Oreochromis niloticus: one gene and its partner. The protein of the gene in region 1 purifies or fractionates together with the protein of each later gene. This does not show direct contact. Links are inferred from orthologs where the notes say so. Each region holds a gene or a part of one and is shown on either strand. Other genes may lie near its edges. The genes, in order: cfap20 and clasrp.

Region 1 (16,045 bases):
GCAATATGTAAAAATGAATATATTGCTAGTTTTGCTCATGTGTACAGAAATCCAAACTGAAGAAAAATATTATCTTGGAAATGCAGCTGTCACTGAAAATATTTGTGGTGTTTGATTTTTAAAAAAAAAAAAAAAAAAAAATCATTTATATCTGATGAATGGACTTGTCTGTTTTTCATTAACTCTTTCCCCCATTTGGTGACCTCCCCTGAGTCTTGACACCACAGTATATATCAATAAAGATGTGGTTTGTTGGCTATTTGAATAGCTTCCAGGTTTTTCTAAGAGTAACTACATAGGCAAAGACCACCCTCACAAACTTCTGATGCAAACCCATTTTGTTCTATAAGCAGGCCTGAAATATGGCAGAAATGAAAAGGGCTTCTAAGCCAACTTCTAGTAGGCTTTCAGGTGGTAAAGAGTTAAACAAGTAGTGTGCCTTTTTAGGTTTTTGACAAATAAGAGGATTATCCTAAATCCTGTACTTAATGTTATAGCGCATCAAAAGCAGTTATGGTAATCATTCTTTATAAACTACTAAAAGCAAGCAGCATTATTAGCAGAGACCCCGTGATGATGTCTTTTGATCCATCCATCCATTCTATCTACTCAAAACTGAGGACACATTAGTACCTAAAACACTTTATTGTATAGAAAGCAACTCTGGTTTTTTTCCAACACTGGGATGGAAATTTTCCTAATTTGTCTATACTAATTACATTTTGGACCAAATCGCCTCATCACATTGACCTTGCTGACAGAGAAGCTCTACTCCTGCAAGAAATAAATGGACAACTGTTAGACTAATACACATTTTGACTGAGAGGTGCCATGAATACATCACGTGACTGTAATACCTTATTAGCATTTACGTGTGTGGAGGGGCGTACTTTTTTTTTTTTTTTTTTGGAAGCTTTATCACATTTTAGACATACAGTTAAGTAAAACAGGGATCATATAAAAGATGACATTGAAGTATTACAATGAGGAGCAATGAAAGTGACGGGGACAATGAGATAAAAGTGAGTACTAAAATAAATTAAGGAGAACATAAAAGTTTGGAAGAGCCAAAATCAAGTTAGCAGTTTCAAATGGTTACAGATGTTAACAGTCTTGAGAGCCTTAGTGTTTTTTGATGAGGAGATTGTCCTTATATATTGTGCGAGTTCCATTTTTAATACAAGAAGTTCAGGTTTTCTGCCGAGGACTTTGCTTTTGTGTATGTGAAATTTTGCCAAAAATAAAACCATATTTATAAAGAAGAAAGCATCATTGTCCTTGTTTTTAAAATTATAATAGCCAAAGATAACATCCTTGTAGTATAGTTGCAAATTAGGGAGAACAGAGTCAGTAATAAACTTGTGGAAGTCCTTCCAGAATTTACATGTAAATTTACATGACCAAAACAAATGAGTAACAATTTACATTTATTTCAGCCATAAATTTGGACAAATATTGTTTGGTGGGGTAAAACTTATGAATTAATTTGAACGAAATCTCTTTAACTTTGTTCGTTAAAAGAAACCTTTGTGGTAAAGTCCAAACTTTTTTCCATTCAATATCTGTTACAAAATTGGCCCAATAAAATATGGCTGATGGAGGGACGTACTAACCATGGACTTCTGGTTCTGAACATGCAGGTAGAGTTTAAACTCAGCTGGAAGCTCATGCTCAGAGTACAGTCTGTTGGAAAATACACCCTCTACACCCGCTGCTTAACTTTTTGTCCCATATTTGAAGAGGTTTGCTGCCGATGCTGTATAAGAGACAAAACACGCACTGGGAGGTGTTTTTAAACATCCTTGAGCTCACTCCACAGACATTAAGCACGACTTTGAGACCCTGCAAGCAGCGTTCGCTGGTTGCTATTACACGTGAGTCGTTTGTTTACGGGTTTTCTTTTCCCTTATACTAGTTCCGGGTGAAAAAAAACCCGTCTCGCTGAAGATGCTTAATTTAAATAAAAATCTGAGGAAATAATTATTGTGTGAATCTTTCTCAAAAAAAAAAAAAAAAATCTTCATTCTATTTTGTGTAGCCAGGGAATGGAACCGATCCATAAACACAACTCGGTTGTGGTGGTAACAGAAAACCTGAAGATTTTTTTTTTCCCAAAAAACTTTATTACAACCTGGTAATAAACAGCACAAGTAATAAATACACCTGAATAAAACACAGAAGAAACAAAATGAAGCAGATCAAGCAGAAAAAGCCTGCCTAAAACAAACAGGCTAGAGCTTGATAATGTTAACATAAAGGCTTTTATCTAAACACACATTCTGTTTTTATAGATATTTATTTTGTAAAGAAACCACTGGTAGGCATTTATTTAATACAAAATCTAAAATTATAATTATTAATATTGTAAATTAACAGGTGTTTTTATGGGATTGGGCTAGAAGTAGTTAGCCTAATCAAAATAAATGTCACAATCATCACAGCATCTAAACATATTTCTATAATAGAGAGCCAAATCTGAGAAACCTTTTAGCAAATATAAAACTACTGACATGTAAAATAACAGGATTAAAATCAGATAGAAGCAAGTGTCAGGATCTTATTTGTTTAAAGGACCAGAGGTAAAGATCATATTTTGTTCCTGTCAAGTGTTACAGCTTTAATAGCAACAACGATTTATTGAAACTAAGTCTTTCTGCTGATATTCATACCTCTAGTACAAGAAAAAAATAAAGGGATTCTGCATTGTGTCAGAAGGAAATATAGACAAGGGCATAAGGTGGTTAACATTCATAAATACTATTTAGGATGCACAGGATGGTGGCAAACTGAAAAAACCCCCCAGAATAATGGACATGGTGGACTTTTAAAAAATACCTGTAGCCAGAGGACTTAACATCATTTAGCCTGAGTGATTTAAATAAATCAACAAACCATGGAATTTAATTGTATTTATGGGCAAATTTTAATTTTGAACAGTAAATCTCTTTCTTTTTGGTAAAGACTTACAAAATAAGCAGTGGGCCTGTAAGCTGTTTGCAGTTAACATTGTATGAGCCAGAAGTTCCACCGCAACTGACAACACACAGACAACTACTGCGTGTATTTGCAATGTGGACCATTTTATTAAAACTGTGCAGAGACTCACGAAAAAGTCAAAACTAAATGAACACTGAATGTCTATAATGCTGTCACAACTAAAACTCCAAATCACATCGGGGGGGGGGGGGCTGCACACCGCAAGAAGCTCTACTGCTGCAAGACACAAACAGACAAGTGTTAGACTTCTACACAACATTTTTACAGACTGAGAGCTGAAATGGTAACTTTTTGACTGTAATACTGTATTAGCGTTCACGTATATGGAGAGATGTACTCACCTTGGCCTTCTGATTCTGGACAGGCAGGTAGAGTTTAAACTCAGCTGGAAGCTCATCCTCAGAGTACAGTCTGTCGGAGAAATACACCCTCCTTATCCGACAGTTAGCATGAATCTGAGGGGGGAAACAGAGCAGATGTTAAAAAGAGAAAAAGGATTATTGTGTCAAATTGTTACTATAGAGAAACAGGAAAGACTCAGAGGTTCCTCATGTGTGCACTAACCTGTACACGTAGCGTCTCTGTGTAATTGGTTCCATAAGCCCTCCTGGTGAAGTCGGACAGGTTGAACTGAATCTGGTTCCAGCCGTCATCGAGCCTCATGGGCATGGTGCAGATGAAGGGCTTCACCCTCGTCGTGCTCTGATAATTACTCGCTCGAAACCGCCGGCGAACATTTTTATCATCCAGAACCTGAGAGGGAGATATGAGACACACGTAGCACCAGGTCTATGGTAGATTCCCAGACTGTATGTTAGCCAATCACAGAGCATTTAAATGTCTCTACCTGGACCTCAAAGGTGAAGTATTTCTTGAGGTTTTTAATGATCATCACCAAAAAGGGGAGTTTGATCCCCAGGGTCTTCTTGGGGTCTGCGGGGCATGTTATGTAGGTGGTGCTGTAGGGAGGACAGAGTTGATGAAGCTAGGATGGGCGAGACTTAAATACCGGATTTATCTCAGTTATTTAACAAGACAAAAATATTAAAGAAAGTAAATCTAATTACTATGCCTGGGATCTACATGATACATTAATGTACACATACTTCAAACAGAACACAAAGACATATTATACACAAAGTGAAGACAATCAATGTACACAAGAGCTTGAAAAAAAGAATATCCTGTTAAATATGCCAGGACTGCAATAGTGTATATAATTATATAATAATGTATATTATTATAATTTTCACTTTATATCCTGTGCATTTGATTAATAAATAAACAGACAAACTCACCTGACATTTGTTCCCTCAATCTCCAGCACATTTGAATGTATGTCATTGTCCGAGACTCTCTTTATGTGACCGTTTCTCACCTGTGAAAACCCAGAAATAGATTTGTTCCCTTATTTTCAATGGAGAAATTAGGACGTTTCCCAGAGCCAGAGTGCTGTATGGCGTACCAACTGTAAAACCCCCTGAATCAGATGTGGGATATCTAAACAAAACTAATGAATGAAGAAGGCATGTCTCATATCTAAAGTCAGATTTGTCAACCAGGGATTGTGACTGCCCAATCCGCAAAGCACTGAACCTATTACTTGCTTTTCAAGCTTTGAGTTTTTCTATCCAACTGTCGCCAAGTCCTTGCACATAGGGGGTCATCTCACTGTTGGAGTTTTCTCTGTATTACTGTAGGTATCTTACATTATAATATAAAGCATCTCGAGTCAACTGTTGTCGTGATTTGGTGCTATATAAAATTGAATTGAAATGAATTACAGAGGTTTGGAGACAACACTGGGTGGTGCTGCCCGACCTCCGGGTTAGAGATCAGTTGTTGCTTCAGAGGAGTTCAAGTATCTCTGGATCTTGCTTATGGGCAAGGAGAGACGGGAGTAGGAGACTGACAGATGGAGTGGTGTGGCGTGTGCAATGATGCAGACCGTGAAGAGAGAGCTTAGCATTAACGGAAACTGTCAATTTAGCAGTCGCTCAAAAGAATAGAATCGTGGATACAAGTAGCAAAAATATTCCCTCAGAGATAGGGTGAGGAGCTCAGACACGCTGGAGAGATTATGTCTCTTGGGTGAGCTTAGGAACGCCACCGTGTACCCCCGGACAAGGTGATGGGAAATGCGAAGTCTGAGTCTATCTACTTAGAGCGCTTTCTTGCAACCTGGACTTGGGTACGCGGCAGAAAATTAATGAATGGATGGATATCTCATATCTCAGATCATTTGTCACCACTGCATAGATGGCCTTGCAGAGAGGACTGCAAAGCTCATACTTGAATATCTGACCAGCAACAGCTCCTGTTTAGCACATTAGCCTGTAAAACCGTGTAAATGGCACCAATGACTCAATCAAGCGACTGTAACTTCAATTACTGATGTGTGACTAGGTTAGCAACTTAGCAGCACTGCCTCCGTGGCTACCCTGTATCATGTTGCTTTTACAAGTAATCAACAAGAACTGCGGGTAGTGAATTTAAAGTGGATCTAGAAAACGTTCACAGCCATAAAACAGTGCGAAGTTTAACATCCTAAGAGGGGGGTGAGTGCACATGATGCTAGCCAGTTTTAGCCCCGCTCGCTAAGCCAACATTTAGCTCCCTGCTTCCGTTCTGAGCCGCTGCTTACCTTTTTGTCCCATATCTGGAGAGGTTTGCTGCCGATACTATATAAAATAGACAAAAAACCGCTCTGGAATGTGTTCTTAAACATTTTCCTTGGGCTCAGCAGACGGTCAATGTGCACGTAGTGTAACCGTTTGTTTACAGGTTTAATTTCCGCCTCCAACTTTTCTGGTTCCGTGTGCTAGAATATAAACCGTTCCGCTAACAGAAACTACCACGTTGTCACTCAGAATAAAAAAGAGAAATCGGTTTCACTGAGTGGTCGAATATTCCCACACGGCGTCAATCAGAAAGAAGGCAGCGGATGTCTCGTTTTTATTTTGGTGTTGCTGGGGAACGAAAATCATCTGACGTTGTTCATGCCGGTTAATAAATGCTGACGCTTCTCGGTCGCCGTGGTAACAGTGTAAGCGTAAAACACAAGTGTTTAACATAATATCGTCTAGAAGTCGCCGAAATAACCAAAGCACCTTTCACGTTTGATGATTCTTGTTTCAGTTACTGAATGCATGATATAATAAAAACTCCCTAATCATAAACTAATTCAAAATGATATCTTGAGCTGCCCGATTCTCACCGCCTGCAGCCAGATCCATATGCGCGTCTCCAAAGAATTTTAGGACTTTAGGACCTTTAAAAGTACAGGTGCACTTCTCTTTAGTTTGGAGAGGGGAGCTTTCACACATAGCTTCAGTAACTAAACAGGGCTGCACAGCTCTGATCCTCCATTACAGGTGTCAGGATATTATCTGTACAGTTCCTGTAGAGGGATGATGCAGCATTACACAGCATTATAAACAAGGCACCCTAGATCTGCTGGAGTTTTCTATGGTCTGTAGAGGTGGGAGGATCCATCCAAATATTGATAGTATCAATACCAACTAAATATTGGCATCAGAATGACACTAGCACAATGGGATTGATACTTTGCTTTAATCATCTTAAGTTCAGTATGTAGCCCACCTAATTATGAAAGTATACCTCTATGCACTATGAAAAATGTATGAACCTTTTTGTCATGTCTTTCTCTTAAATCTGTTTTATTTATAGCCTGTAGCACATTGAAACAACAGAAGTTGACCCAAAGTGCTTTAATGACAGGTTCCAGGTCTAAGACCCCCCCCCAAAACCCCTGTTTCAAAATACACGAAAAGTTGAAAGGTGAATTTTGCTGTTTTAACTCATCACTCATCACGTCATTAAAATGTGTTCAGGAATTGCAAATTCAAAGTGATTTATCTCATAAATCGCGACACACTGCGCTCTCCTAAATAAACTGGCTTTATGGGTTGAAATCAGCAATACTGACCTTGTATTTACTTGGTATCGCATCTATTCCTAAATTTGCTGTGTCACACAGCAATAATGGTCTGAAACCCTGAGTTTTCTTATGAAGGGCTCAAAATTGCAATTCTGATGCTTTTTTTGCAAGGTTTTTTTGGGAAGTTGTGGATATGTTGTGAGTATAGGTCAGGGGTCTGCAACCTTTTACACCCAAAGAGCCATTTGGACCCGGTTTCCACGCAAAAGAAAACACTGGGAGCCGCAAATACTTTTTGACATCTAAAATGAAGATAACACTGTATATATTGTTTTCTTATCTTTATGCTTTGTGTGAATGGTAAATGGTAAATGGACTGGTTCTTATATAGCGCTTTTCTACTCATCTGAGCACTCAAAGCGCTTTACACAACTTGTGCATTCACCCATTCACACCCATTCGCACAAACACATCTTTCTAAGTGCTTCATAGCTAACATTCACACACATTCATACTCCGACGGATGCATCGGAGAGCAATTTGGGGTTAGTATCTTGCCCAAGGATATTTGGCATATAGACTAGGGGAAGCCAGGAATCGAACCACCAACCTTCCGATCAGTGGATGACCTGCTCTACCACCTGAGCAACTAAGGTGTGCTGCTTATGAAATCCATGAAGTGCTACAGAGAAAATTAAATTATATTTATGTAATCAACACATTTTGAACTCTTAAAGAAATATAACAAAAGGAAAGACACCCAGCTGAACTAAAATGATCCATGTAGCAAACAAAAACTGTTGTGAGCCGCCACCCTTATATCGCCTTTGCGCTGTTGGAGCCTTGACCTGACTCTTAAAAAATAATTGGAAAAAAGCACTATGCTGCTGAAAATGAAAAATAGATATTTGCAAAATTCTGCCTAAATATGTATTTTACCTGGTTAATGCGTGCGGCGGGACGTGGTTTGCAGCGCCGCTGCAGGGGAGGCGGACGCACCTGAGCGACACCCGCAATCACGCCTCGCTGCCTTTACGTCTGCGTTATCTATGCTGTTGTGTTGTTGGTGGTGTATGTCGGACTGTGAGCTGAAAAGCTACAGCCGGCTGTATGCGTACAGCAACCGTGTGTGAAAAGTGGTCAATAAAGAGGTTCTCAAAAGCATGCTCATGGAAACATCGTCGGGTCTGCCGTGATTTGTTTACAATGGGACTTCTGCTCCTGAACCTCTGCGCACAGAGTCCGCAAATCGGGGCTATACGAAGTCAGTTTACGCAGGACTGTCATCTGTCAGGCGTGAACGGTGTTTGTCTTTAACATAGTTCACGGTGGAGAACAGCTGCTGACATAATGTGGATCCGAAGATCCATAATTGGCCTACCTGGGGTTGAAAGTCTCGATAAATGCACGGCGTTTCGGCGGGTATACCGGCTTCCGCGAGTGTGACTCTTATTTTGAGCGATGAAAAAATAATAGAATATAATTTTATTTTTACATTTCAATATCACAATAATCTTCCAACTTAGAACTACGAGTTAAAAAGAACTAACATAAATAAAATACACTTCAGCTAAATACTTCTAATGTATTTGCCCAAACCACACGGAGCCGCAGTATAAGGACTAAAGAGCCGCATGCGGCTCCGGAGCCGCAGGTTGCCGACCCCTGGTATAGGTAAAGGTAAGGATTATTCCTAAGGAGGGAAATGTATTATTGTAGGAAGAAGCTAATGGGCACTTTCTTTTCTTTTCTTTCTGAATGTTTTTTTCTTTGGCTCATCAGAATTTACTCAGGTATAGTACAAGTCACAGTGACCCAGATGCTTAATAATATTATCTGAGGTCTTACCTGTCCATAGAGACCAAGATTATTCATGTTGATCTGATAATAGTGAAGCTACTCTTTATTTATTTCGGGTATTTCCTTACACTGACAGAAAAGTGGGTCGACATTGAAGTTGACATCAAGGCGAACATCATACTTAAGGATTTAATGACTTTCTAAACTTAATACTGAAGTAATGATTCTAAATGATGTCTTAACTATCATTGAGTCCTGCAGTGGGTATCAGGACATTATCAATCCATAATTTAACATATCATTGAACCATGACACTGCCCTTGAATCCTACCTTAAAGAGCATTCATCTGGCAGCCATATCCTCTGCTTTTTCTGCTTAGACTAATACATTAGCCTCGCTGACCTGAAAAGGCAGATAGAGTCTAGTCCAGCCCCCATCCTATCTTATTTAACTCCAGCTTCTAGAAAATGAAATCAACCTCAACTGTTAATTTCTAATCTTGTCCATCCTGGTCAACCCCAATAAAAATCTTAACATCTTCAACTCTGCCACCTCCACCTTGGCCTCTTCTGCCACTGTCTCCAAACCATACATTAAAGCAGGTCTCATTACAACCATATAAACCTTCCTTTTCACTGCTGTCGCCATCCTTCAGTTACAAAACACCCCTGAATCTTATTTTCAGCCTGCCTGCACTCTCTTCTTCACTTCTCTCATGCACTGTCTGTTGGCTCTCTACCACCTGCTAAAATCTGTAACAGGGCTATTTCAGTCTGAACAGAAGACCTACTGAAAGCTAAAAAAAAATCCCTCTCAGCCTAACAAAATATGTTTGTTTTACGCATGAGGTTTTAGCTCCTCTCTGCTTGTTAAATGCCTGCAGACTTGCCCTTGTCTGCAAGCCAAGATAATTCCTCTGACATTTCCAATTTTGCTGAAATTACACAGCATACTTTACAGCACCTATGTGCTGAAACTCCGTTTAAGTTGTAAAACTGCTGGAGTGCCCCTTAATTCCCTAATACATCCACCCCAAACGTTTCTAGAAATAGATTTCCTATGCACAACTTAATTTAAGCACTCTTTCCACCCTCTAAATTCCGCCGAAGTGTCAAGCGCGACATCCTTCCTCCGTCTCCAACACTTTAAACATCTGGCAAAGATTTCAAATATTTAAACAAGCCAAGAAACATTCAATCAAACATTAACCAGGCACTTTGTATAATGACATCACCAACGGCGCAGCATAAATCAAAAGCCTCCTTTTGGCTTTTTTCACAGGTATTACTGCCGCAGGACTTTATTTGACATTTTGATGTTAGCCACACACAACCGCAAACATATTCAATGGGACAGATGTTACAGCTGTTTATCCTCCTGTGAGTTTATTAGGTGACGCTTCTTTGTGGTGAAAGAAATGTAAAGTGATCCCTTCTCTACTCTTTATCTATCTTTCATTATGAAGGTGTCCTCTCCCATTTTTATAAGTGTGTGTTGGTTCACGGGTTCACAGGCTGGCAGCTTCATAAAAACATCTACAGAAACAGTTTATGCTGCGTTGTCTGCTTTATACTTTTATTTTGCTCTTCACTTCTCTAATTGAATCATGTATTTACACAGAGACAAACGTATATTTTTTCTCTCTAACGCTGTCCGAGTGGGACCACCCTGGAGACAGCTTTAAATAAACGATTTTGAAATCACACTTGAATGAAACTGCCTTTTGTTTTTGTCCCACAGAGACAGGGCAGTCTTCCCTCCAGCTCTTTCTAATTTTTCCTCTTCCTTTTAGCCTGCCAGCCACTTACTCTTTTCTTGTTATTCCCAATCCAACTGTTATCCATCAGCGTACATGTTCCTCTTCTGCTTTTCGACACCTTGGACGCTCAAGCCTTGTCTTTGCATTGCCTTTCCAAATCCCTGTTTCAGATGAAATATATTAGAAGATGTCCTATTTGACAAGAGGCCGAGAAAGAAAAGAAGCTCAAACTAAAGAGGTGGAAAATGAGACAAAGCAGAAACTGTAAGGTGGGAGAAGACGGGGAATGAGAAGAAAGAAAATGACAGAGTTATTTGATACATTTTTGATACATCTTCATTACATTTTGTGTTATATGGGATATGAAAGAAATGAGTTAAAGAGGAGGTCCGCCTGTTGAACTCTACTTTCCATTGGAGGACTCTCTCCGCCCCAGAGCTTCACATCTGACTCTCTGGGCCTATTCTTTCCTTACCTTTTAGCAAATTACTGAAAGACCAAAGGATGTACGAAATGAAGAGGAGATAAAAGTATGAAATTAAAAGCAACTGAGGATCTCTTTATTTATATCATCGGACAACAAGGACTTTTGCACAAGTCTACTGCATGAGGATTTCTTTTCCACACTTTTTCTCTTCTCCAGGTACGTTTAATCCATTCAGTCATCATTATTTGATTCTGATTTTCTTTTTGTTTTTTCTGGTTGTGTTTTTTTCATTTTCTGAGCAGCAGTTTTAAGGTTCTTTGTGTACATTTGTCCTCCTGGAGATATCCACATCATTTTCACCCTACAGTACTTTCCCTCTGGTACATGCATGTTACAGGTTTTTTTCATTGGAAATTGTACACAAAAAGGAGTTTTCATTCTTTTAAGAGTGCAAAATGTAAAGTTTAAAAAGCTTGAATTTAACTCGTGAGGGTTTAGCTCAAAGGAAGACCTGATAGATTTAGATATGATTTTATATGATCTAGTCATTTCATTTAAAAGTGAACCTATGAAGCAAATGCACGTCTGCATCTGTAAAGTCTGCAGGTGCTGGGCGGCAGTGATTAACACAATGTTAAAAAACATTTGCAGGCTTCAGAGTCATTCACTGGTTTATCTTTAATATAATAATTTTATCACATATTTTACCATAACCATAAAGTTTCAAAGAAGATAGCTGCTTGGAGAGTTTTTTCCTTTTTTAAAATCCAGGCTGACAGCCATGTTTTATCTAACTGTCTTATGATGATGAAGAGTGGAAAGACCTCTCTCAGCGGCACATGTTATCCAATGGGAGCTCATCCGTCTCTGGTTTTTATAAGGAAAGACACTTTTGGCCAAAATGAGAGGATCTGCTGAGTAAAATATGGCATTATTTAAGACATTTATCTTTTATAAAATTACTTTTTTTAAAGTAAAGGAGGACATTTTTAATGTATGTTTTTTCTGATGTCGAATAGTCAGGAGTAAATAAACATTTTTTGTGAGATTTAATTTGGGGCTTTTAGAAACGCATTAACAGGGACAGAAAGTGTGAGGGAGAAGATGAAAGATGGGCAGACTCAAATCCAGGCTGCTTCTTAAAGGACTTGAGTTGCTTGTATGTGATGTGCAAGCTCTGCCAGGGGAGCTCCACAGATTTGCTGAAAGAAAAAAAAAATCATTTTAGCTCCCATGATACATCAGATGAAACAAGCTGAAACTAACTTTTAAGCCAACTTGGCTAAAGGTCCTGTAAGGGCTCTGGATGAACTCAGAACAACTACAGAGATTGTACAACAACAAGTTTATTTCCATAGAAAATGAGTGTGATAAGTTTCAAAGCTCTGGGAAAAGTTAGTACATTCAAGTTAAGGGTGAAACAGTTTTGGCCAACTAATGAATAGCTTGTTTGGCCAGTTCTTCTTAAGCAGAACATAACAAATTCACTAATGTCGTAACGCCTTATTTATCACACTGTTTTATCTGTTCCCGCCTGCCTTTGAAATATCAACACTATTTTTGGCCAGTCTTTTAACTTCTTTAAGCCCCTTGAAAGTGAACACAGTCCAGCCGTTTTTTAAACAGGACATGTTGCACTGATCACGTTTATCTGGTTAAGACAACCGTCTACATCATGTTCAACACAACACATGTCAGTGGTGTGTTAAATAGCCGCGCACGCTGGCAGGGTTCATCTTAATGCTGTGCTCCGTCTTTGAAGTAACACACACGGTCGTGTACTTAACTTTGTTGAGAGTGTCACATCCTTTTAGGGAGGAGATGAAGATGGATACAGTTGCCTCTACGATACAAGAGCACATTGTTTATAGGATCGGGATTTCCAAAGTCTCTCTGTCTGGATTCATTTCTGCTGATGTTGGCCATGGTTTCATCCCTAGAAGTCACAGCTATCTCCTTTAGTTTTTAGTGTGCGTATGTGTGTGTCTTTGTGTGTGTGTGAGTTTGGAGAACTAAGCTGTTTGAAACTATTTACCATACAGTATCCAAGGCTGAGTCCAGGATAAAAGGTTAGGGCATCTGTCTTTAAATTACTGCCGGGAGGCTGTAATGAAGACGCCCTGATATTACTGAACAATCTGAGGGAAAAAAAAAGGTTAAAAAAAAAGTAGATAGAATGAGTCTGGATATAATCCTAAAAAGCTTTTACCCTTTAGAAAAGAAAAGAATCTGAAAGATTTGTTTTCCTCACTACATTAACAAAGTAATAAATGATTAAAAATGCCTTAAGTGCTACAGTATTTTTTAAGGTATCCATCAAGAAATAGTACTTTACTTCTGCAACTGCCTTAATTCTTTGTGGCATGGATTTAGCAAGGTACTAAAAACATTATTCACAGGTTTTGGTCCACATTGACATGATAGCATCACACGGTTGCTGCAGATTTGTCAGCTGCACATCATTGTGAATCTCCTGTTCCACCACATCTCAAAGGCGGTCTATTGGATTGAGATCCAGTAATTGTGGGGGACACCTGAGTACAGTGAACTCACTGTCATGTTCAAGAAACCAGTTTGAAATGATTTGACCTTTGTGGCCTGGTTTGTTATCCTGCTAGAAGTAGCCATCAGACAATGTGTACTCTGTGGTCATAATTGGACATGGTCAGCAACAATAAACTATGATCTTTGAGTACTAAGGGGCCAAAAGTGTGCCAGGAAAATTTGTTCCACACCATTACATCATCACCACTACCACCTTTGATACAAAGCAGGAAGGATGGATCCATTCTTTCATGTTGTTTACACCAATTTCTGACCTTACCAGCAGAAACTGAGACTAATCAGACCAGACAGCATTGTACAATTTTGGTGAGAGGAGTAGCAATCATTATGGACTTCTGCTGCTGTAGTCAATCTGTTTCAAGCTTCAGCATGTTATGCATCCAAAAAAGCTCTTCTGTATGCCTTGACTTGTTCTTTTTGAGTATTTTTGAGATACTGTCTTCCTATCAGCCCAAAGTAGTCTGGTCAGTTTCCTCTGGCCTCTGACATCAGCAAGACATTATCCTTTTTAGAACTGCCACTCACTGGATATTTTCTCGTCTTTTGGATCATTCTAAATGGTTGCATGGGAAAATCCCAGTAGATCAGCAGTTTCTGGAATACTCAGACTACTTCATCTGGCACCAATAGTCATACCACGTCCAGTCATTCAAATCACTTTTCTTCCCTATTCTGATGCTCAGCTTCACCTGAACAGGTTGTCCAAATGCAGAGAGTTGCTGCCACGTGATTAGCTGATTAAATATATTAATGTTGATGAACGGCTGAGCAGCTGTGCCTAATGAAATGTCCAGGTGACCGTATTTCTCTTTATTTAGTCCACTTGCTTCATTATTATTGTGGGTTTTTTAACTGAAAATAACAACAAGCAGTTGTTTTATTCATCAGCTATACATTAACAGTCTGGTAACACAATCCCAGTTCCAATAACTAGCTTTCTGAAGGATTTTGCATTGTTACCATGGAAATAATACGTTGAAAGTGTGAAAGCAGATGTTATGCTGGACTTCCAGTTGAGATTACTACTATAGTAAAGGAATTATTCCTCTAAAGTTGACATAACATAATATAGACATTGTAATTTGTTTTTATTTGTATTTATTGATTTAAGTAAAACATTGTAAATCTTTTTTTTCTTTTTTTTTTCTTTTACTTTACTTCACTCCCTGATTCTCACCAGCCTACCTGTCATTCATCTTTTCCAACCAATGGAGAGCCTTCTCACCAACATCAGCTCCAACTCCACTGCTGAGCCTCTCCTGTCACTTTTCAACTCACACCAAACTAACTGCAACACCTGGGACCAGGAATGGGGGACCGCATACCTGCACAGGTTAGCCCACCTGGACATGCAGCTGTATCAAGATTTCTACACCGTCTGGGTTTTTCTGATGGTAAGATCAAATGCTGAATAAATCTTATGTTACACTCCAGTATTTGCTATTTCTGTGCAGTTACTTAAGTTGTTTTTACACTTGTTTAGGGTAAGCAGATAAAAGCAAGGACCCCGCCTAAAAAATTAAATAGATTAAGACTCAATAATAGCATAAAATCCTGCACACAGCACCTGTGCACTTCAGAATATCCCAGACTGAGAAGACACTAAGCCTTTAAATATGTAAGTAGCTGTGCATGACCAATAAACTAAGGGTCCATCCCTCCCTGCTGCAGGTGTTTAACTGTCTGATGCTGGTGGTTGGTGTGGTCCTCAACAGCCTGGCTCTCTACGTTTTCTGCGGTGCCTCTGCACACTCTTCGGCCTCCGTGGTTTACACCATAAACCTGGCCGTGGCTGACCTGCTGGTGGCCCTGTCGCTGCCGGCTCGCATCGCTCTGTACCACAGTGGAGGGAGCTGTGTGGCCTGCTCATACGTCCACACCTTCAGCTACTTTGTCAATATGTACTGTAGTATCCTGTTTCTGACCAGGTGGGTGAGTCATAACCTCATTTATCACATAATGAGGAGCTGTTATGCTTTTCATTGTTTTTAGTTATGTGCATTCTTTTAGTTGGATGCTCATATTCAATGTGGTAACACACACAGATAACCCTGTGGACCAAGAGTTCGGCTTCTGGCTGGTCTAATTTCTTGATTTCCAGTTCTTGTGTCAAGGTGATATCAGTTTGGCATGGATTTCCTTATACCATCATCTCAGGCTAGGACTGAGATGAAAGAAGGTTTTGTTTGTGGAAGCCAGGCAAGGGGCAGCCAATCAGAAGAAAGGCAGGGTTTTAAGGCGTGAAGCCTTAAAGAAGCCTAGTATTCAAATTTATCTGAAAATAAATTGGAATAATATGTCTCCTCTACCAATATTCACTGATGGCTTTCTATTCAGCATCTGTATCGATCGGTACCTCGCTGTCGTCCACGCATCCAGTACCCTTCATCGTTGGAGGACCATAGGAGCGGCCAGGTGTGTCAGTGCCACCGTGTGGTTCATTGCAGTCGTGGTCACCTACTCTTTTCAGGTGAAGAGACACACTAAAAACCCAGCACACACAGGATGAGCTCTCAGTGTATGAAACCACAAAATCAACCTAAAAAGAGAAATAAATTAATTGCAATAATTGAGTTCATAATTTAGTCTATGAAT
Region 2 (16,295 bases), on another chromosome or scaffold:
TGACTGCAAGAAGAAAAGCCAGGAGGAGGGAAAGTTACCGACCGGGAGCCCCTGCTATGACCTGCAGAGTGCTGCGAGTTGGAAGGGGCGTGGCCAGAGTGAGGAGCAGCTGTTTGCGGTGCTGCCGCGGCTTCGTCGTCGCTGCCGCCGAAGCTGGTGATGAAAGTGATCTTCTCTGGACCGGGAGTACGTGAGCGTGACCGCGACTCAGAGCTGGACTCTGACTCTGGCCTGAAAGTGATCAGAAAAACCAAAAAATGTAGTTAAGACACACAGAAGCAGACAACCAATCAGGAAAGTGGGAAGGACAAATCAGTGGGTGAACTCACCGTTTATAAGGATCATACGTTGGACTGTCTCTCCTGGCGTAGCTGCGATAGGAAAGGGCGAGTTAACATAACCACGCTCTGAGGTACGGTGAAGTTCATTAAGGAAAAATAACGCAATTTACCTCGGAGGGCTGATTTGTCTTCCTTTTAGCCTCTTCTCTCTAAACTCCCTCCTCTGTCTACGAGAGCGGCGGCCCTGAGACAATCAAGCAAACAAACATTATAAAACCTGTAAACACAACCCACACAAACACTTCCCTCAGCAGATTTAGTCTTACAGAGTACATGGCCTTCTCCGCCTCCAGAGCTTTGGCATGTTTGATGGCCTCCACTTCTTCCTTGTCTTTCCTCAACATCCTGACAAATGGGCAGCACAATCACAGCATTACAAAAAACCACAAAAATAACTATTTAAACACAAAAGCGCATCAACTTGAAGAAAAGAAACCCAATGTTCCACAGTTTAACAGCACGAGATATATGCGTTCGTGTCGGAGTCACAGCTCAGTGTACTCATTACGGTTTATGTTTTAACGTCAGATGCTCACGTTAAATATGGCCATGGTTTCAAACAATGACAAGAGTGGCTGTACGAGCAATGGCTCAGGCTTAAATTGTTCTTATTGCTCAACTTCAGAAAGTGTTTTTTTTTACCCCCGGGAGAGCAGCTAGTTTAGTTGGGCTGCACAAAAGCCAATTAAGACAATATTAAAAATGAAAAAGCTCATTTTGCACCGTGAACCATACAAAGCTACTCCACTGGAGTCCAAGAATACAAACATCTTGCTCAAAGTTAGTCTTTACTCTACAGAACGTATTTTGAAAGAGATCCTCTAAATAGTCAATTTAAAAGCAAACCAAAAAAACCCTTTTTTTTACTGTGTGTATTTTTACAGTATCTGCTGAACTTAAAACACTGCAGAAGCTTGTAATTAAAATGAATAAAACCCAAATACATCAACTTTGAGGTCAAGGATATTACAGTTAACAAAATTAAACCACAAAACAAACAAACAAACAAAAAAACAACTACATTTGAAAAAATATTTAGATAAATACTGTTTCTGAAAACAGTTTTTTGGTAAAATTTATCACAACTTCCCTAAAGATTCAGACATGTTTAATAAGACTTTGGTCTAAAACACTGAGTCAACTGAACGTTCAAAAAGTTCTCTTCTTATTATAATACCTAAAATGATTTTCCTAAATCTCACCTCTGAGATATGCCCTCCATATAATTATACTTAAAAAGACTAAAAACTTGAAAAAACTGAAAAGAAAAAAAAACTGAATTTTAAAAAAGCTACATTAACTCTACTTTGGTCAAGACACTAATTAAAATTTAAGGAACCACTGGGCGTCGTTTTTCTTCAGAAATTTGCTTTGGGTTCGACTCTGACATCATGATGTGATTAATGACATGTTACCTGACAAAGTCTCCTTCAGCCATTCCATATGGCGTTGCCATTTTGTTCAGGTCCATCACCTGCTCCTGGTTCAGCTCATCAACATCAACCTCCACATCTGAAAGTGCGCGCGCACACGCACACGCACACACACACACACCATTTTTTAACAAGTCGATTTCTTACCCAAGCATTAAACAGGAACACTGTTGATCTGAGATCAGATCGTCGGTTAACAGCATTTAAAACACGATTATCACATAACCAAGAAAAACCTGCAACCTGGCAGAAAAGAGAAAAATAAAGTTGAGCAGTGCCAGCTGAGTGGATCACTTTTATAAAGACAATCTTCTCCAGGTACAGTGTAAGATAACTAGTGTTATTTCTCAATAACTAGCGTTTTACATGCTGTTAAATAGCTTGGTTTAACTGCATTAATTTCTCATTGGGATGTGACATTTCTCCTTCGCTGAAGTCCATTTTCAGGGTTAGTCTGAAGCCACACAGATGTGTATCTGGCCATTTGAAGCCTGCACTGCATTAAATGATGTAACAAATCCAGCTCGCACAGTCAAATTGACAATTTCAGATTTTAGTCTCTTCTGAGAAACGTTCTGTGGAATAACTCTCACATATCCAAGAGACGAAAAGCTGATCAAACACATTCTCTGTGGACAGCTGTGCCTCTAAATGTTTTATTTGGTCATCTCCTGAATTTTACTTCCCTAACACATAGATTACTCCAGTGAAACATGCTCACCGATATCTGGAATGCCTTCGTCATCTTCGGATTCACTGTTTTCTGAATTGTCTTCCTCTTTGTCTGACTGGGGCTCAGGCTCTGCTACAGTGCTGTCTTCATACGTGTAACCAATGGTGGCCTTCTTCTCAGCCAGTCTGCACAACACAAGGAAAGATTTATGAAAACAACTTAAAATACTGGATTTCACAGTGGTGATAAAGAACCACTTTAAAATTTAGTTCATACTTTTTCTTCTCATCCTCATTTGGTTTGGGCAGACCACCATAGAGCTCATCCAGGTAGATCTGGTATAAACACTGCTCCTCAGAGACTGCAGGAGGACAGGAGGGATTTAAAGAGCACAACACAACTGCAAAATATACCCACTGAGAGCAGGTCAACACACTGCCATGGTCACATTAAGAATACAGGTGCAACACTATTAAGCGCATTACATAGTCATGTAGATTTTGTGTGTTAACACTCACTGTTGGCAAAGTCATTCTGTACAAGGCCTCTGTAGCGCTCATAGTTACACTTTCTCTCCTCCATCTCCTGCTCTGGAGTGCTGCATGAGACAAAGAAGATTGTTGGTCACATTAAACACCTCGCTGAATGCTCAAATCTCACCACACTGAACTGGTTTGTGTCCTGACCAAGCATGAAAGATGACTAAAAATACAATCTCACAGATGACCTGTTCAATTACTGAGCAGCAGGTGTTTTATCACAGAGTAAGAACCAGAAGTCTTACTAAAAAGCCACTCTTTGGTTATTACCACAAGTTTCAATGCACCAGCACAAGCAGTCAGTGAAGTAATCAGCATTACAACACATAAAGATCGAAACAGACAGTCGTGCTATAAACAGCATTTTTAAATTAAATTTTATTTTGTTTTTAATTCTTTAATTCTATTTAGTTTTCCATCACTTTACAGAATCACTTGGCATTCTTTAGATTAGTTTTCACTTTATGAAAATGTTTAGTTTTAGTTTAGTTTTTATCATTTTGAATGTTAGTTTTAGTCTTTTAAATTATTATAACGTAATAGGAGGGGTATTTATCAGAGAAAGTTTTAAGAGTAGCCACCCGGTCATCCCAGCAACCATCTTCAATAAAGTCTCCTCATTGGTGGTGTGTTGATAAATGAATCAGGATGTTTACAAGTTATTTAGCAGCAAGTTCTCCACAAACACGAGTCCAAGATTGGGGAGAGGTGACCATCATTTGGCATTCCGCCTGACCAGTCACAAACTGCTCTCCTTCACCCCCATGGGCGGCTATCTGCAACCAACCAAAGGCCTACAGTATCAGGGCCAGATTTGCTATCATGCTGTTGCAGCACGCATGCCTTTTGGGAGTTCCTTTCACAAGGTGTAAAATCTGTTTAAATCAAGTCCACAAGTTGATTTGTTAATGTTTTCAAACACTGTTTATTTTTGGCACTTGTTATTGAAATGGACTGACTGTGCCTGTGTTTAGAAAACAGTGAACCTGTAAAACTAACCACAGCTATGATCAGCATTTGAGGATTGTGCTCACACCTTATTTCACCCCTGTTTAGAGGTGTTCAGTCAATCCTGCAGCTGGCAGCTTCACACCACTGGCCAAAGACATACACATAATGTCAACTGCTCTCGTACTGAGCAGAATTACTGCTACAACATCACATCATCCGCAGGGAAACACTAAAACGTCTCACAACGGCCTAAAAATCAGTTCACTTTCCTATTAGCGGGTCAACAATCCAGCACTTACTGACCACAGGTTTAAAACCCAGGAAATCCGGAGGATCATGAGGACCTATTTTAATAATCTGTATTCATACTGGGAATCAAGGTCATGCAAGCTGTTGCCCTTCTGCTCCACAGGTGGTTTCTGTCCTCCCTGAGCTCACCTTAGGACACCTGCGTTACAGTTTGGACAGATGTACTGCCCTAGTCAAAGCCCCCACCTGCCACTGTCTTAGGAGCGGGTCACCAGAAGCACTAAAGCTGTGCTTGTAGAGTCAAAGTCGAATTTTAAATATGGACAATAAAACATCCATCTAGTTGCAAACTGCTTCCCAATTTAGAGAAATGGAATAAAACATAAATCTACTACTACAGACTACTGCAGCAGGTGTTTTAGCTTTATTATTATAGAAATTATAATATAAGTAATTAAACTAGCCTATTTTGCAGGTGACAAAATGACCTGTTTTGGGTTTTTTTCTTAAAACAAACAAAAAATGGGGTCACCATCTCCTTTGACGACTAAAGTCAGATCAGCTCAACCTCATACAAGAGCAAATGTTTCCACATAATTAAAAACAAACTTTGGTGTATTAAGAGTTTTTTCATGTGCTATGTGCAGAGGTGTTTTTTTTCTGCTCTCAATCTGATCTCCCCATTGGAGCTCAGTCTGGGGGGAGTTATTTTTTTCTCCTGATCTTTCCTCATGTGGTGCATTTTCCATTGTTATACCTCTCTGACCTGTCTTCCCCATGTGATGTTTTTGTGTAATGTATGTATGGTCGGAGGGTAAGATGGCGCCGCCATTGCGCGCAATAGGTCGGCAGCCTTAACAAGAAATTTCCCCTTGTGGGACTAATAAAGGTATATCAAATCAAATCAAATCAAAACAAAACAAAAAATAACAAACTGAAAACATAATCCATACCAAATTATGACTGGTTATTTTTTGAAAGCCCTCTTTGATGAACTATCTTAACTGTTGAATACATAATCTGTACAGCATATGTACAACAATATATGGTGAATGTGTGATGATCTCCTCACAACTGTCCCATGTAGAATCATACAACGAAAAAGTAAATAAATAACCAATAAAATGTTCACACAACGTGGGTTCCATGTTAAAAATGTGGCTTTAAGTACTTTCAGACTTACGATGTGGTGAGCAGAGGTGGCGTGTAGGTGGGGATGTAGTCCAGGTGAGCCCTTACATCAAACCTGTCAATCATGTTGTTGGCATCTCCTTGCCAAGGCATCCTTCAGACAACAGAAAGGAGGCAACATGTGATCATAAGCTCTGTGGTGTGGCTCATCTCTTATTATGTGTCGATTTTGTGATTTTCCTCACATGTTTGCAGGGCTCTCTGCGGCCAGTGCCACAGCTGGATCCAGGTGGATTTTGTAGGCTCGACCGTGAACTTGAAGAAACTGAGCAGGATCTTTTTTCTGTCAAAAGAAAATGAAACCGTAAGAATACAATGCATTGATTAATATCTAAAACTATGAAATGTTACACTGCACAGCACTTTAATTAAACTGAAACCAACAACCATAGAAATTAACTTCTAAAACTTGACACTTTTTTTTTGTAAACAGTAACTGGTTCATTGATGCAATGAGGATAACTGAAAGCTGTGTCAACTATATGCATATGTTTTTAAAAATACCACAAAGTTTGGACCCACATAACTGGGTATAAACTTGCTCAAATCTTTTCTTCTTTTTTAAAAATCCTGCAGTAAGAGTGTTCAGGCCAGACCTGCTCACTCCTACCCGGTGGTACACTGTGGCAATGCAACATGATAAAGTTTCTTACTATCTTCTCATAGTACTCTCGCCGGCGCTCGCCTCGCCGTTTGTAGTCTACCATCATGCCACGGAGCTTGCGCTCATGTTTGCGGGCCTCCTGCCACATGACGGCTCCGCTAGGGGTGGGGGCGCGGCGGGGCACGGCTGCTACTCAGGGCAAACAAGCAAGAATCATGGGAGACAGGGGAAAGTGAGATTAAGGGTGTTAGAGGCAAGAAAAATAAATAAATAAAAATAAATAAATAGTGGACTTTATAAACTGAGCACTTCAAGAGCTCTGAACTCCACATCATGTCACTGACATACAGACAGAAAGTATCTCTTACATATTACAGTTGATATCTCTGATCAGAACCAACTACAGAGTGCAACCAGCACATCTGCAAACACACTATCAACACTCAAGACTACTGAAAATTCCCAGTCTTAAGCTTCACACTAAACACAGGCAATGTTGTAATGCAATAGTTACCTACATTCCTTGTTAAACACTTGACAACCTAAGGCACGCAGTGACGTCTAAATTTCTAGCAAGACAACAGACATATACCGAGATTAAACGGCCATGAATGCACAAAATATTTGTAGCCTGTCTATTCATAAGTAAACTGAGGCATATTGGTCACTTCCTAAAACTGAAGTTGTGACACGTCATGTTAGACATGTGAGGGAAATTCAGTGTAACGAAACCTAAAAGGTATACGTTTGCCATTCATTTGCATCAGTGTATACACTTCCAATGCATTTCTCGGAGTGTTTGACGAAGCTCATATCCGCAGTAATGACAGGATTATATTTTTCTATAGCAGATTCCTCGTCCTCAATTTTGCTAAAACAGGGACATTAATGAAATAACACAAACAAGCAAATACAGCAAATATACTCCGATTTATATTTTTAAAAAATAAATAAAATGAATTTCACTGGAAAAAACAAACACCTAAAATGTGATTTTGGTACATCACAGAAATTACAGTAACTGTGAATCAAGGTGTCACCTCTGCATCTTCTACCACTAAACACACTTTTAATTTACAGCAGTAGCTAAACAGTCTGAAGCTAAAAAGCTAACATAGCTTTCTATCCAGTATTTACGTAGTTAATACGGTTACATTACAACGCTGTTTGTCCTCTAAAACGGTTATTTTAACCCGTCTACGCCCCACTTTCAGCGTTCAGATTCAGCCGGGTGCTAAAAAAAATCCGTGTTATCAAAGTGATGTAGGAGTTTGTTAGCATACACACGGGCCTGACTGCGCATGCAGCCCGGGCCTTTTTAATACCAGTTAGCATCACAACTAGCCTAGCTTAGCTGATCTGCAAAGACGTTGGGAACAGTGGTCAAAAAAGCAGCTACGAAACACTGAAAACTACACATACGGCCGTACAGGGTACTCAGCGCGGTCTAAATTCTCACAGTGTACCTGTTTTACTAATCGCCAACACACACACGGGTTGTTTTCAGTTGGCCAAAAGCGATGTTAGCGGAGTGGAGCGTAACCACACGCCTCCTTCGCATATATATAACAGGCTGCAGTACCGACTCTGGCCTGTGAGGGCGCTGCGGGGAGGCGTGTGTATGTAACATTAATGGGAAGATACTTTTGAAAAAAATTCTCCTTATTATAAAACACAGTAAACAATAATCGCCACTTCTACCTTCACAGCAGATAACTCAGACCAGAGTCAGAGGAGATTCTATGCAAAGCATCACAAATAAAAAAAACATTTTGACAGCTTTCTTCTTCTTCTTTTTTTTTAAATTCACAGATGGTTTTAATACAATGCTCGGTGTCCTTTTGAAAAATTATGAATAGATATGTAGATTGATTAAATTGGGCTTTTTAGATATAGTTTATACTTTGCTATGATAATTAAAAGTTTGAATAAATGTAGTTCTTTTTATTGCTGAAACTGAACAGTACCTTATGCCAACACAAAGATGAGTCTTTCCGAAAAGCCTTCCTTAAACTTAAACAGGATAATATATGTGTTTTATTTTGAAAGAAAGTTTGTGCATATTATTTACATTATCTGTTGGCTTCGTAATGAAAGTTACATAATAACTCAGTATGAAAAACGGCTCAGTGGTTTTTAAGGTTGTGCACCGTATTTGGCCACAAGATGTCCCTGTTAGACAGGAAATATGCACATTTGAAGCTATCACAGTTAAATAGAGACACTTGCAAGGAATTGGCAAACTGTGTGTGAAAACATTTGTGGTAATCCAGCTAAAAATAATTAAATTAATCTTTCTTTCTACAAAGTATTATGCCCCTGTACCAGTCTATGACTACTTTATGTGCACAAGGACATGTATCAATGCTGCTCTAGTGAGAGTCACTCAGCGTTTAAGCTCTAGTTTTTCTTGTATTTGTTGTCAAGCTCTCCTGAATCCCTGTCAGAAATACAAACCCAGGTGTCCTTGGGTCAGTGCATCAGCTGCACATGTGGATGGGCACTAAAATAAATCCTTAAAGGAGATCTCTTATATTCATTTGAACTACCACATTTTTCTGTATAAATCAACTCTTCTGGAGTTGCTGATTTTCATACATACACACACACACACACGCACACATCGCATGCATTAAAAGACCAAGGCATCCACTGCACAGCTGAACTTTACATCAGGTATCTACATTATTACCTTTCCCTGTTATGTGTATTTATTCATTGTGTGTCTGCCTGTGTTTTAAGCTGAGAGCTACCACGCAGCATTTCGTTATGTGACTGCAAAATGATAATAAAGAATCTTTAACTCCTCTTATTTATCTCATGCTGATATTTGTCACAGAGTCAGAAAGGAGCTGAAAGTGTCAGAACTGGATATGATTGTGGATTTTAAGACTGTTTTAAAAGAATGAGAGAATAAATCTTTTGGTCAGTGTGAGTGCTGTTAATGCTTTGCACGTTTGTGTTCACTTGTCTCTGAATATCAGTTGTATTTGCTCCTTTACTTGTTATATCATTTTATGCTTCCCTCTTGGACAGGTCTCTCCAGAAAAAGACATTTTAATCTCAATGAGATTTTTACCTGGATAAATAAATTATATAGAATACGTTTTATTTATAAAAATATAATTTATCTCTCCAATGTGCTGTAATCACACAGCTCCTCAGAAAAGTAACTTGGATCCATCCGTGAGGGATCAGAGTAGAGCTGCTACTCCTCTGCATGGAAAGGACCCAGCTGAGGTGGTTCGGGCACCTGACACGGATGCCTCCTGGGTGAGGTGTTGTGGGCATGTCCGACTGGGAGGAGGCCCCGAGGCAGACCCCGAACACACCAGAGAGATTATATTGCTACAGTTTAAATTACTGTAATGCTTTATTTGCTGGATTATCCAAACGATCAGGATGACTTAGCTTATTCAGAGTCCTTTCATACACAGCAAAATCTGAACATATTATCACAGTACTGAAGTCAAAACAGGATCACTTCTAAATACTTCTGTCATTTCATAAAACTGCTAAAGGTTTGAGCCCCGGGTACATTTCTCAGTGTCTATAATGCTACTAAACCTATAACTGTGCTGAGGGTGTGTGTTTGTGTGTGTCTGTTTTAACTCGTATTTTATTTCTCTGCAAAGTGTGCTTTGAAAATAAGGACAAGCATTTAACACCTTTACACTGAGGGGCAGTGACCCCTTGGCTGAATCTGAAGCTTTCTAATCTGCACGCTGGGCTTTGACATCCTGCTCAGCAGGTGCAGAAAGATGCCTGTACATATGTATGTATATATATACGTCTATGTTTGTGTGTGTAAACTCTATTCTCTACATTTCCTCATGACCAGCATGGTTACAGGAAACCATGTTCATTTCCAGCCCACTGTTGTTTGCACAGGTCAGAGGTCACATTTGTCACATCTATTTGCACATTAAATGTCTATGCTGTGACCTTGGAGCCGCTTACACTTGGCAATTTATCATATTTTAGTAACACACAGCATGCTTTACTGTAATGATCTTTTATATATATATATATATATATATTTTAAATTTTCAATAACACCAGTGCAGCGTAAAGAAACAAACAAATAAACAGATACACACGAGAGAGAAAAAAAGGCCACATATATGGGAAGAGTTCCAGAAAGGAAGGGAAAAAAAAGAATAGGTTAAATATGGCATGTCATGGGTCCAAAAAGGACTGGATCTGGAAGTACCCAAGTGTACCCCAGATTTAGACAACTGCACTTGAGTACAGTTTACAGAAAAATTGTACTGTAATGATTTAGGACAACATAGACTGTCTGATATCTGCAAAAATGGTTACAGGTAACTTCAGTAATTGTAGATCCATTAAAACCAGAAACTTTAAGTAAATATTTGCCAGTGTTTCCAGCATTTTAAATGCTATTGACCAGCAGTTTGCACAAACCCGCTGCTCTTGAAACTTACTGTTATTATTATTCCTTTTTTTTTTGCAGCCACACATTTGTTTTTTAGGAAAGCTGGGGTCAGTCAGGTGGTCTCCCATATTTTCCTGGCACCGTCAGCATCATTGTTTGTCAACGAGTGTCAGGGAAAGAAAAGGAAGATAGTGAAAGTCACTGTGTATATGGTGACTTACTGACCTAGTCATTGTGCCTGTGCTCCAACATGAAATATCCTCTCATGGGACTCTGTCAGTGATTTATGAACAGAAAGCTTGGTTGTGACATCTGAAAAATGCATACAGGGAGACAAGGAACTAGAAGAACTGATAACTCTTAAACAAATGTAAGTAATTTAAGACTAATGTTGCTATTCCAAAGCTTAAAAATAAGCTTGGATGCTTTTTGTTACATATACGGTTATGGTCAAAAGTATCTCTGTATCTTCAAAGGACTGTGCATTCATGATATATTGTTGCTTTGGCCGTATTAACAAATGGAGCAGATCTACATATTATTAGAAAGTGGTATTAGAGGAGACACAATCCTTTTTGGGTTGTGTCAGGGAGGGCTTCTGGTGCAAAATATCAACTAAATCAAACAGACAGTGACCACTGGTGAATAACAGAACAACTGAAAATAGCTTTTTATTCAAGGATTTAGAAACTCTTTAGTGGGTAGTAGTGATTATTGAGTACAAATGAGAGTCCTGAGAAGACTGGGGAGTTATTATCGACTAGAGCAGCTTTACATTATTCACAGTCCTAAATAATTTATCTTGTCATCTTTAGCTCCTCCCCCTTTATACCAGCTTTCATCTGATTAGCTGCCCCTCAGAAACAGAAGAGCTGAACAGCAGTTGACCATGTTAGAGTTATCTGCTCTTCCTCTCATTATTCAGACCTAAGGAAAAACTGTCTGGAAGGGAGGGTTTAGAGCTGTCTGAAGCCTAAGCTTTCGGCTCACAGGGATTATTTTGGACAACTAAACCCTGGAGTTTAATAAAAGGTATAAAATCGAGTTGGTAAATGCACTTTTATTACATTCCACATGTGCTTGCTGCTCCAAATGGAAAGTATAAAGGGAAAAACAGGGGACAGTAATACAGTGATACTTCCAGAATGAATCACAGTACAAAAAGGGCATCAATATGTACAATACTATTTATGTACAAAAACAACTATGTTACACACAAGTATGATAAAAACCATACATCTCGGGCAAACTGCAGTATTACAGAGACAAAACAGGCATCAGTGTATACTCTTAAAAATGTTCTCAGGAGGCTTGCAAGCCTTTGGTTCAGGAGGATGCACTTTCACTCTAAGCAGAGTGAAATGTTTCCCCTCTCACAAAAACTAATTATATCCAGTCTTTCGTTCACTCTCACACACACTTACACACAGCCAGACACAAACAAAAAATGTTAAATAGGCATCTGTTCACTGATCCTTTCTGTCAGAGTTCAGTGGAGGTTTGGACAACAGTCAGATGGCAACACCGAACAGGAAATGTATCGGGACTCAAATGGAGGAAGATCCTCTGTTTACTCTTGACAGTTTCACAGGCACTCAAAGGCAAGTCTGTAAGTCTTTAGGTTTTCAGTTTACTGTTGAGTCTTTCAGCTCAACTTTATGCCTGTGCTGCTTTTTCATGGCCATTAAGAAGGCCCAAAGACGATGGCGACGACGCTCTTTCGACCCCTCTGCTTAGCAGCCTTTGTTCCTCTGGTGTCTGCGCACAGCCATCTTTGTTTATAAAGGTCAGAGGGTCACCTTTAATTTTCATATCTGCAACATCGACACAGTGCAAGTAACTGGAGACGGGGTCCTGTGAGCAAAAGAGTGCTAAGGACGCAAAGTAAATTTAAAAAACAGCTCCTCAGGGCTTTAAAAGGTCAGCATGGGGTCAGACCTCCAGCTCTTGGTTATCTGCATAGTGGAGGCGGTTCAACTTCTCCCTCTCTTGGTTTGAAATGTCCAGTTTGGCAGCATGTGCTGGCTTTAGTGCTGGGGAAGGGTGTGAGGGGGCCGGGGAGGGCGGCAGGGTCAGTTCAATCTCCTCGTAGCAACGTGAGACGGGGGCGGGAGCTGGAGGGTTTGTGAGAGGGGCGGCAGCGGGCAGCTGGGGCACCGGACGGTCCACGTTTCTGATGAGGTTGACAAACTCCCTCTGGTTGTTGATGCCTTCTTCCTGCGGGACAGCCTGCTGCTTTTTCCGCTTCCGATGGAGGTGGGACAGGATGAAGGCGCAGGCGGCACAGCCACAGACCGTCACCAGAGCTAAGACTCCCACCAGGATCATGTAGAAGCTCAGGCCCCCGTGTGCTGAGTCAGACATGGCGCCTTCGGGTGTTGAGACGTGAAAGATCAGACCAGGGTTCATCAAGATTTTATACGTTTAAAGATGCACAAGTATTTCTCTCACCTTGACAGTGGTGACCAATGCAGGGATTTTTGAGGCTCATGCACTCGTCACCATAGTAACCGTCAGGACAGATGCACGTGTTCCTGCCATCTATGATGTGACACTGCACGCCTTGCTGACAGGGGTTGGGATTGCACAAGTCCAACACGACCTGAAATATTGGAAAAAACAAAACAATAAGACAGTTAAGGGAGACATCCACTTCTCTCTAACCTCCAGTGAAATTTCTGATGTTTCTGATTGGATCTTTAAAAGATCTCTTCTTACTTCACTTTCAATGCTAAAACTCAAATGTTTATTTATAGCCAATGAATTTTTTTTAAGTTTTAGCATTTTTAAACTTTTTGGTGTAAAATTTCCTCCTAATAGTATGAGTTCTCCCGTAGCTCAGCAGGGATTGAAAAACAAAAATAAACAAACAAAAATGAATTTGAAAGTTGAAAGACTAAAGACACCGGATATATAAACCTGAATATTTTAGATTTGTTATTTTACCTAATTATTTGAGATTTTCAAGGATCACATTAAAGTTAACAAATGTAGGCATTAAACTAGCAATCTGGAGCCAAGAGGTTTTTATAATATTATAAAAAAAAAAAAAAGTTTATTTACTGTTTGGCTTTTCTTAAAAAGTTTTAGTTTTACTTCTGTGGACTTTTTAATGTACTTCACTTCTGATAGGGCTAAAATGCTAGAATCATGTTTATTCCTGGTATAAATAGTAACATCTGATGTGCTGTCTATAGTTTTCAATCCACTTTTTTATTCTGTATTTTATTTTTAATTATAAGCTTGTTCTACCTTTGTTCATGATATCATCACATGTTTTATTTATACTCAGGTCCGTGTCCATGTATTACTTAAAAAAATGATTTTCTGCTTTTGTTTTGTAAAATATCTCCATTCATAAGAAAAAGAAAAAGAAACAACATTGAGTTCTATGCAACATAAATGTTGGCCAATCAGAAGGCTACAGGCGATAAAACCACACAGTCTGATGTCAAAACAGAGATAAAAGCAGATAACTTTCTAAATCTAAATCTTTATTTCAGTTGTTGTATGTGTGGACATAAGACTAAAATCCATAGACTAAAGATACGTTTACCAGAATACCAGCGTATGTGTGGACAGCGCCTCGCCCCAACCAAATGAACTTGAGATTAGCTGCATAATACATTTGTTACTGTGCTTTTCATTTACCTTAGCAGCACATTCAACACTGTAAATATTCAGGTTTCTCTTTCTGGAACAGGTTTAAATTCATATTTTACCATTGTGTAACATGAACTTCTGATAAAGACTAAATTTCTAAAATCCCCATTTTTTAAATCTATCATATCGATTTTTCTTTCAATCTTTTTTGGATTACTCTTTTGAAATATGTTGTTATATGATGTTATGCGCGCTCTCTGTGCGACCACACATCTATTATCTTCCTCTGATCTTCTGCTTTCACCTCTGATTTGTTTCTCACTCTGATTGGCTGCAGAAGGCTCACTGGCATGCATATACAGCTAGAAAAGGTGGAGCACGGAGGTTGCTGGTTGGCATCTCAGTACCTCGTCTCCTGATCCTCGTCAGCAGCACTGGTGATGTCGTTCTGCTGCTTTTGATTATGGCTTGAGTTTGGAGTTACGGGCAGTCGTGTTTTCGAGTTTGGTTCTGTTATTTTAGGTTATTAATATTAGTTTAGGGGAAAATGGAATCTGATGGCTCCTTGTATGGTTGTTTCATGATCTTCTTCCTCTTTTGTTTATTTTTGCCAGGTTTTCCATTTTCCTCATTCATGTTTATTCTTTGTAAGTAATCATATTTACATTATTAAAAGTATATTGAATGGCAGCAGTTTTCTGGGCCAGATTATGTTAGGTTCCCTTGAGTCTTTGATTCAGAGACTGTAACATCTAATATTACCTTGTATGCCTGTTTCATCTTTTTTACTAGAAATTATCTTCACACATTAGTTAAACTAAAAAAAATACCCATTTAGTTTTAATTATTAAAAAAATAAATTAAATTACGTTCTCCGACCTCACAGAAGTTTCCAGAATATCCAGTGGGACAGTTGCAGGTGACTGTTCTTTCATCCTTCTCCTCACACTGCCCTCCGTGCAGGCAGGGGGCGCTATCACACAGACGTTGATGATTTTGGCAGTGTTTTCCAGAGAATCCAGGTGGACACACACATCTGGATCCTGACACCTGATCCTGTATGGGTCAGAATATACAGTTGTGGTCAGATATTTACAGGCACTCATCACTGGCATGACTGTCATGGTAAATTTGTGCTTTTAATGACTTCTTTGAACTGTTCTTTTTCCAGGCTGGAATGATTGTACAGCATCTATCTTTAATGACTTTAAAAACAGGAATTGGGTTTGAATTTAATTTTGGGTTTTCTCTGATACACTCATGCTCAACTATATGCACACAGCCCCATTAATATTTGGTTAATTTCACTTAGCAAATTGTACCTTAACCAGATCCTTTTGGTAATCATCAACAATTTGACCATCATTTCATCTAAACTGGTTGGTCTCCTGGCACAGACCTGGGGTTTAGGAATGGGAAGGCCATTCCAGGAGCTTAATGTCAGCCTGCTTTATCCAGTCCAAAACCAATTTTGATGCGTGTTTGGCATAATTGTCCTGTTGGTAGACCCAACTGTGTCCAACTTTCAACCATCTAGCTGTTGATCTGAGGCGAAGTTAAAGAATTCACAGGTAGTTCTTCCTCTTCATTATTTCATCCACTTTGTCCAACATACCAGTACCACTTGCAGCAGAAGAGCCCCAAAGCATGATGCTACCACCGCCATTCTTCACAGCTGGTAGAGTGTTCTTAGATTTAAAAGACTTCACACCTCAAGAACCTATCTTCTGGGATTGTGGCCAGTCACACGGTTCAACCTTTATCTGACCATAAAACTTTTTAAAAGAAAGCATTTGGTTTGTGTTGATTTTGGAGCAGGGGCTTATTTCTTGGTTGGCACCCTCTTAGTCCATGGTAATGTAAAACTCACTTCACAATGGACTCCTTAGAGCTTCACTAACTTCCGTGGACATTCCCATTGTCACGAGTATTTGTCAATCCAGTGAGTGCTTTTTCTTTTTATAGTTGTAGTTAATCATGATCAGTAACAGAAGTTAACAAACCTTAACTTTCAGTACCACTTATTAAAATATTTAATAGAGTGTATGTATACATCTTAGCTCTTGTGGATCAGAGAAAGTGCAAAATAAATTCAAACTGTTGTACAATCATTGAACCCAGGAAAAGAACAGTTCAAAAAAACCTTAAAAGCCCCAAATTACCATGACAGTCATGCCCATGATGAGTGTATCTAAGCATCTGACCACAACTGTGTGTAATTTATATGTGTGACACGAAGACATGAAGTGTGGGAAAAGAGCACTGGGGAGGGTTACAGAGGATCTGCGACAGGCAGAATAATATTTAAGAAA

Evidence for each region.
Region 2: the proteins of cfap20 (region 1) and clasrp purify together in Homo sapiens (affinity purification with mass spectrometry; 3 studies listed by BioGRID and IntAct, counting the BioPlex papers as one, with this or other methods). This does not show direct contact. The link is inferred for Oreochromis niloticus from reciprocal best matches to the Homo sapiens genes CFAP20 and CLASRP.

What each region holds. Positions count from the first base shown.
Region 1 is NC_031985.2:18,318,537-18,334,581, forward strand, and holds cfap20 (cilia- and flagella-associated protein 20), read right to left. Parts: upstream 5,998-16,045; 5' UTR 5,726-5,997; coding exon 5,642-5,725; intron 4,376-5,641; coding exon 4,296-4,375; intron 3,957-4,295; coding exon 3,845-3,956; intron 3,751-3,844; coding exon 3,562-3,750; intron 3,453-3,561; coding exon 3,339-3,452; intron 3,214-3,338; coding exon 3,208-3,213; 3' UTR 2,101-3,207; downstream 1-2,100. Other genes in the region: G-protein coupled receptor 20, read left to right, coding at 14,659-14,844, 15,122-15,378, 15,788-15,920. UniProt on the Homo sapiens protein: Cilium- and flagellum-specific protein that plays a role in axonemal structure organization and motility. Microtubule inner protein (MIP) part of the dynein-decorated doublet microtubules (DMTs) in cilia axoneme, which is required for motile cilia beating.
Region 2 is NC_031979.2:23,406,212-23,422,506, reverse strand, and holds the start of clasrp (CLK4-associating serine/arginine rich protein), read right to left. Parts: upstream 7,601-16,295; 5' UTR 7,448-7,600; intron 6,171-7,447; 5' UTR 6,130-6,170; coding exon 6,031-6,129; intron 5,661-6,030; coding exon 5,563-5,660; intron 5,472-5,562; coding exon 5,370-5,471; intron 3,046-5,369; coding exon 2,966-3,045; intron 2,809-2,965; coding exon 2,724-2,808; intron 2,633-2,723; coding exon 2,496-2,632; intron 1,854-2,495; coding exon 1,757-1,853; intron 687-1,756; coding exon 608-686; intron 526-607; coding exon 452-525; intron 372-451; coding exon 330-371; intron 232-329; coding exon 43-231; intron 1-42. Other genes in the region: protein jagged-1b, read right to left, coding at 12,313-12,749, 12,832-12,982, 14,863-15,039. UniProt on the Homo sapiens protein: Probably functions as an alternative splicing regulator. May regulate the mRNA splicing of genes such as CLK1. May act by regulating members of the CLK kinase family.